Oryzias latipes: one gene and its partner. The protein of the gene in region 1 interacts with the protein of each later gene in a biochemical or structural test. Links are inferred from orthologs where the notes say so. Each region holds a gene or a part of one and is shown on either strand. Other genes may lie near its edges.

The links.
Region 2: of the proteins of coil (region 1) and vrk1, one has a biochemical effect on the other in vitro, tested with the Homo sapiens proteins (2 studies listed by BioGRID and IntAct, with this or other methods). The link is inferred for Oryzias latipes from reciprocal best matches to the Homo sapiens genes COIL and VRK1.

The regions. Positions count from the first base shown.
Region 1 is NC_019866.2:24,978,487-24,982,879, forward strand, and holds the start of coil (coilin), read left to right. Parts: upstream 1-1,453; 5' UTR 1,454-1,593; coding exon 1,594-1,844; intron 1,845-3,086; coding exon 3,087-3,927; intron 3,928-4,000; coding exon 4,001-4,090; intron 4,091-4,393. Other genes in the region: scpep1 (retinoid-inducible serine carboxypeptidase), read right to left, coding at 337-467, 648-705. UniProt on the Homo sapiens protein: Component of nuclear coiled bodies, also known as Cajal bodies or CBs, which are involved in the modification and assembly of nucleoplasmic snRNPs.
Region 2 is NC_019880.2:3,855,024-3,858,109, reverse strand, and holds part of vrk1 (serine/threonine-protein kinase VRK1), read left to right. Parts: intron 1-1,144; coding exon 1,145-1,237; intron 1,238-1,721; coding exon 1,722-1,854; intron 1,855-2,713; coding exon 2,714-2,834; intron 2,835-2,938; coding exon 2,939-2,997; intron 2,998-3,086. UniProt on the Homo sapiens protein: Serine/threonine kinase involved in the regulation of key cellular processes including the cell cycle, nuclear condensation, transcription regulation, and DNA damage response.

The DNA of each region.
Region 1 (4,393 bases):
TCATTTTGAGGAAGTTGGAGATTTTGTGTCACTTAAATAAAAATAGGTTTTCCTGTAACGTGACTGAGTCATTCAGTCATCGGATCACCTTTTTAGGGTTTTTTTCGCCTTCCAGCAGAAGTCAGACTGCAGAACCTGGACAATAGATCCTCCATGGATTCTACTTTTCTCTATTTTAGTTCATGCACTTCCTTGTAGATTCAAAGTGCTGATGGAAATGTTTCCCTCCTCTCATCTTCATCACCAGCAGAACAGCTTCAGCCCACAGATCAAGACCCTTGAGCTCAGGTCATCTCTGCTCGTGTCAGCTTCAGACACGCACGCACACGCACGCACCTGCAGCCACATGACCAGCGGGAGCTCCCGGAACCCAGCGTCGGCGTGATAGAGCCACCAGAACATGTGGGCCCCGTCCCTCACCTCCACGTAGTTCCACGCCTCTTTGGGTGGCGGGGGCGCGCACAGCCCTGCGGACAGACAGGTGAGAAGCAAATACCCTGACGAGCATGCGCACACCGACAGAAACCGAGGTTACTTTCGTTTGACAGTCATCGGATTTACTGAAGCGAGGACAAGTCCAGAGATGAAAGGATCTGGAGGCGGGAGAAGAAGTGATGAAGAAGTTCTGCTCGACCCACGGAACTCACCATCACGGACGAGCACAGCGGACGCGCAGAGCCAGAAAAGCACCACGGAGCCGCACATTTTTGCTGCAAACTGGCGGAGAGGGACTTCACCGATGACGAGTCACGTGACCAAAAGTCACATGACCACGCCCAGGAGTCAGCTGATCGGCTGACTCCGATTTTTTGAGTTTTTTAAAAACAAGAAAACAGACAGAAAAAAAGAAGATCCTAAGTTTCTGAAACATCAAAATTTTAAAAGAATTTTTCTCATTGTGAGATTTTTTTTTTCATTCCAAAATTCCCCGAAGGTCACTGAGGTCACGGACCATGGTTTCCACGGCAACCATCTGCAGTCAGTTATCCATCACCTAGTGCTGTAAAGTGTCTCTGTCTGTCTACATTGTGCTAACAGTAAGGTTTGGTGGTGGGAGGATCATGGTGTGGGTTTATGTATAGTTTCAGAAGCTAGGCTTAAGGCTTGGCTCCTTACTTTCAGTGAAAATAACTCTTTGTGCTTCATCAATCCAAAACCCCTTGGACAATTCCACTATCACAAGAGTCTGAACAAAGGAGGGACCAAATGTTTTCAAACAGCATTTTAGAAATCTGCGCCTGATTTGCCACGATTGAATCCTGGTGATCCTCATGATGCCCTCCATCATGAGAGAAAGGCTAAAAGAACATGCTAAAAAAACAACAACACGATTTTATCCTGAGTGGGTCTTTGACCTGGATGAAGAATTATTGAGATCCAGGCCTCCTTGTCCAAACTCTGAACAGAACAGTTAAAAATCCTTGTAAATCTCCCTAAAGAGCCCCGTGAATTATTATGGGATGCTGTTTTAATTTTAAACGAGTGAAAAGGCAGATGGGATACACTCCGGACCGGCAGAGGGCAGTGTCGTGACAAAAGCAGCGCTTTATCCTCTGCGCATGCGCGGGGCGGCGTGTTGTCGCGGAGGGTGTCATGGCGGCGCTCGGAGACAGCTTGATCCGCCTGCGGCTGCTCTTTGACTACCCCCCTCCGGCCGTGGCGGGGTGCCGCATGTGCTGGCTGCTCGTGGACCGGAACGCGTGTCGCGTGGTGGCGGACCTGGAGGGTCTGATCCGGCAGAAGTTCGAGTTCAGCCGCGGGAGCGTCCTCAGCCTGTTCGTGGAGGACTGCTACCTTCCGCACACGGAGAGCATCTTCGTCGTGCGCGACAACGACAGCGTCAGGTGCGCGCGCATCCCACACACAGCGGGGTCCTGATGTGCCGGTGTCGTTTCCGAAACGGTTCGAGCCTGCAGGCTGACACCACAGATATCCGGACCTGAAGGACTTAAGGCCCAATCCGATCATTTTAGTCTGTTTTCAAAGTGTTCCCAGTGATCTTAATGTTTTTAGACAAATTATTTCAAAAAGTTCATCAGAAATTCACCTCTGACTTGTGGGCGGGACTGTGGCGCAGAAGTAACCCTCCACTGATGTCCCATCATCCCCTAGTTTACACTCTCTCCCACTAGCTTACAGCCCCAACCCAACGTTAGCGGTGCAACCAAAACAGCAGCAACATCAGATCCATCCGTCCGTCCAGTTCTGACCCAGATTCCAGCTCAGACCAGGAAAACAAAGACCTTCATGGATCTGTCGGTCTGCAGGTGGAGGATCAGAACCATTGACTGAATATGAGAACTGGACTGAGTGGCCCCGCCCCCTGGCATTCCAAACAGGAAGTGGCTCTCAGAAACTAAAATCCCACAGACTTGAGAAATAAACAGCTGTTAGTCATTCATTCTATTGGTCAGTAAAAACATTCTGGATCTGATACTTTTATTTAAACATGTTTTTGTTAATCCTCTTTTATTCATGATATATTTTTCTGTAAATCAAGTTCTAAACTGACCAATCAGATGCTTCAACAAAGGTAGGCGGAGCCTCCTTGCCACCCACATCAAATGGTCAAAACATTTGATTGACACGTTTTCCAGAGCCCGCTCTCAAGTGGAAGGGGTGTGGACCTCTAACAAGCTCACTCCTGATTGGTGATACTGGTTGCCATAGAAACATTGACTCGGACTGACCAATCACTGCTTCTTGATGTTGTCTGGCTCCAACATGGCGGTGTTCGTTTAGCAACAACAAGAATGGGGACTGCACTGACTTCATTTGGTTGGAGCTGGAAGTCGTTTTCAATGGATGACGTCACACTGGCTCGGTCCAATTCTAAAGAATCAGTCAATGGTTCTAATGGGCCTTGGTTGATCAAGATGCAGTTTGGGGAAATGTACACACAGACACCACGGAGGCCATTTTTCTATTACTGCCTGAGGCCTGTGCGGTCTGAGATGAAGCTCGAGCCTTTCTTCTTCCTCTGACTATGAACGCTCTCTTCAGCGTGGGTTTGGGGGGGGGGGTTTACATTGTAGAACGGGTCGGTTCTGGATGCGTTTCATGCAGAAATGTTTCTTGTTCTGCAGGGTGAATGTGGACTGTGTGGCTGCGCTGAACGGCTGCAGCAGCTGCGCAGACGCAGAAGGAGTCAAAAGCAAAAAGAGACGGAGAGACGGGGGGGAGGAGGGGCAGCTGGCTGAAAACAAGAAGAAGAAGAAGAAGAAGAAGAAGAAGAAACGAGAGGAGGGGGAGGCCGGAAGGAGCAAGCAGGAGACGGTTGACAGGAGGGAGGCGTCTCCGGGGAGGAGCAGCAAGAAGAAAAGGAAAAAGGAGGGGGAGAAAAGTAACACTGTTGCTCCTACACCTGCTGCCCCCCCCAGAAAAAACCCGCCCAGTGCCCCCCCATCAGCTGGAAGCAACAAGAAGAAGGCCCCAGCCAAAACGCAGAGTTCCTCCACAGAGTCCAGCAGCGAGGAAAGCAACTGCCCCAAAAGAACTGCCGCAAGGACGGCGCCCCCCACCCCTGCTGCTTCCAAAACGCCCCCAAACACCAAGCCCCCCCAGAAGAACACACGGCCTCCCTCTTCATCGTCCTCAGAAACAGACTCTGATGGAAGTACCCCCACCCCCAAATGCCCAGAAGCTCCGTCAGCGCTGAAACAGACAGATGTGGTCCAGGCAGCCCCCCCTCAGGACAAAGGGGCGGAGCCTGCTGATGCTGGGAGTGAGGAAGAGATCCAGCTGGTCATCCGACGGCCGCAGCAGCCTAACAGACACGCGGACGGCCTCTGGTCACGGCGCGGCGGCGGCAGGGGGGCGCGTGGAGGTGCTGGGGGGGCAGCAGGCCGGGGCCTCAGCGGTCAGAACAGTGACAAAGAGCCCCCCCTCCAGGCGCGTTCCCCGACCAACACGCCACCGCTCCTCCAGGTCAGTCCCCGCCCCTTTTCTCTTACGCTGCAGACGGAGGAAACGTCTGAATCTGGTGCTTGTGTGTCTGCAGAATGGAGCCGGGGGCCCCCCCACACGGGACTACAGCTCCATGCCCCTGCTGGCCGCTCCTGCACAGCCGGGGCAAAGGATCGCTTTCAAGGTGAGGTCCGTCCTCCAACGTCACAAACATCTGACTGCTGAGGGGCTCCGCTTGGATTTAGAAACATCCCAAACAAAAGTTTAAACCTCAAACGTCCAGAAATCTGACAACTGATGACAGAATTTACCAGAGTGGAGAACAGCAGCTCCAGCTTCAGCTGCTCCAGCTTCAGCTGCTCCAGCTTCTGCTGCTCCAGCTGCTGCTGCTCCAGCTTCAGCTGCTCCAGCTGCTGCTGCTCCAGCTTCAGCTGCTCCAGCTGCTGCTGCTCCAGCTGCTGCTGCTCCAGCTTCAGCTGCTTAAGGT
Region 2 (3,086 bases), on another chromosome or scaffold:
GACCGTTTACCTCGTCTCTGCTCCTGCTCCTACACCTGGCTGTGGATCCTGCCTCTGGCTCATCTCTGGCTCGTCTCTGCTCTGTACCTGACCGTTTACCTCGTCTCTGCTCCTGCTCCTACACGTGGCTGTGGTTCCTGTCTCCGGCTCGACTCGCGCCTTTGACTGTCCCCACAACCACGGCTGGATGAAGCTCGTCTGCTGGACTTTTATATATGTAGTTGTAGATTTAGATAAGTTAATTCTTCTCTAAGATTTCTGGTAAATCGCCTGTCCGTCCTGGGGGAGGATCCCTCCTTCATGTGGGCACCCCTGAGGTTTCTTCGTTTTTTCCGGAATCCGGTTTTTTTGGGAGTTTTTCCTTACCGCGAAGGGCGGTCTAAGGGCAGGGATGCCAGTATAGCTTAGTCAGTTTGTTAGTTCATTTTAGTATTTTTCTATTGAACTCTTTGTATTCGTGATCCTTTTGATTTCATGTTTTACTTCGAAGCCCATCGAGACGACTGTTGTTGTGATTTTGGGCTATACAAATAAAATTGAATTGAATTGAATTGAATAGTTGTGGATCTGCCAAAACTTCCAGGTAGGGTTAAAAAACGAGAACAACAAACTTTAAAAACAGCGATTACTTGTATTCTCTTTTTACGTTCACCCAGCTACTCCGGTTTTCCCGGTTAGCCTTGAATGAAGATCTTTTAAAGCATTATGCCAATTGTTTAGCATGTAGAATTAAACATGTAAAACTTTGAAGCAGTTTCCTTCTCTGTGAAGTCTGACGCTGGGAAACCTGAACGAGACTTGAACACGCTACGACAGCTCCAGCTGCAGCTACAGCATCTCTGCTGCAGCTACAACAGCTCCAGCTGCAGCTACGACAGCTCCAGCCGCAGCTACAGCATCTCTGCTGCAGCTACAACAGCTCCAGCTGCAGCTACGACAGCTCCAGCTGCAGCTACGACAGCTCCAGCTGCAGCTACAGCATCTCTGCTGCAGCTACGACAGCTCCAGCTGCAGCTACGACAGCTCCAGCTGCAGCTACGACAGCTCCAGCTGCAGCTACAGCATCTCTGCTGCCATCTAGTGTTTGTTTGTCTATAGCAAGACAATAAACGAGATGTGGTTGAACTCTCCTGTGTGTTTTCAGCTGGACATTTTGGAGTTCATCCACGAGCATGAGTACGTGCACGCCGACGTCAAAGCGTCCAACCTCATGCTGAGCCACAGTGACCCCAACCAGGTCAGTTCATGTGGGGAAACCCCCGGCCTTCAGCTCTGCTGCTGGAAGCCGGGATGGATGAAGGTTTTGGTTGAAGCTCCCTCATTCCGCTTCATTAGACTCTATTCTAACCTGCTGTGTGTGGGTGTAGGTGTGTGTCTAAAGATTAGAAAGCAGCAGAGGTTTTTTTATTTTTGTATTATTTTTAGCAAACACAATTGGAACAGGCGCGGGTATTTAATTTGGAGATTAATAATGGATTGTTTGTGTTGTTTTTAAATGACACTATAAAAATGAGCCCTCAGGATTCTATGCTTAATTGTCCTCTGTTTTGTTTTTTTGTTTCTGTTGATGGACTGTAGCTGTGTCACTTATTTAAGCCAGAAAGAATCTAGACTGAGCAAAGATTTCGAGTCCAAAAAGAACTTGTGGTTCTGGAAGTTGTCCGTTCTTCTCGTTGATCACAGCGGGTTCATCTGGTTTCCCGGTTCTGCTGGCTGTGCAGGTTTATCTGGTAGATTACGGCCTGGCATACAGATACGCTCCTGATGGCGTCCTGAAAGAGTACAAGGAGGATCCCAAGAAATGCCACGATGGAACCATAGAGTTCACCAGCATCGATGCCCACAAAGGAGTCGGTGCGTACGAGTCCGCTCTGAAACTCAGATCCACTTACTGACTGTAATATGATTAAACTCATATCCTGAATGAAACCCAGCCGTGGAAATGAGCGAATCCAATCATTTTAGACACAATAAGATCAGGCCGAGGAGAAAATCTGACCTTTTTGGATGTAAACATCTCCTTTGCCAAAAGCCCAAATATAACTACAATGTGGAAAAAAGAGAGTTTATTTCTATGTTAAAGAAATATAAAACACGAAATGTAAAAACAGGATTGATGCTAAAGTTATACTTTTTGTTGCTGTTTTACATTTTGAGTTAAAACCGATTGTTGAGATTTTCTGGAATCACAGTCAAAGTGTTTTTCTAAACTCAGAAATGAAACAAAGACAGTCAATATTGTTAGTGCAGAAAGTCGAACCGGTTCTTGGAAAGCTCTCATTCACAATGGGCTGCACGATGTGAGGAAAACTCGCGATGTACGACATTAATGATCAACATTGCGATGATGACATAACTTTTGATGCATGTACAAATACCAAAACAACCAAAAACAGAAAATGCAACAATTTAATTTGAATAAGAGTCAAAATACCTTAATTTACACTCCAAATGACCCTCGTCTACATAAGAGGCAAACATCTAACATGAAGGCTCCGTCTGATTGGTCAAACGCATAAATGGATTTATTCAACTCATTAAACACTTCAAGCTGCCATCAGATTAAAGGTTCGGCATTTATTGTGATTTTCGCCGTATTTTGCGTTATGGACATCGCAATAACGACAAATTTGCGATTTATTGTACAGGCCTAGCTCAGAATCTTGTTACTCGTGCTCATGGTTCAGCTCCTCACGTCTTGGTTCGTCTGCAGCTCCTTGCAGGCGGGGCGACTTGGAGATCCTGTCCTACTGCATGGTTCAGTGGCTGTGCGGACGTCTGCCTTGGGAGGACAAGCTCCAAGACCCCGTCTACGTCAGAGACTCCAAGATCAGGTGGAGCGCCGGCGCCGCTTCACGCGGGGCGTCCCAGATGTCAACTGATCTGTGTTCAGGTGGAAGTAAACAGCTGCTCTCTGTGTGTTTTTTTTCTCCCACAGGAGTCAAGAAAACATCTCAGAGTTTATGTCCAAGTGTTTTTCCTCTCAAGAGAAACCCGGTAAGAGACGAACAATGCACGCCGGGGTGGGTTGGCACCTTCCTCCTGCTCAGACAGAGAAAAAAAACATCTTAGCTGTGAGCCAGAAG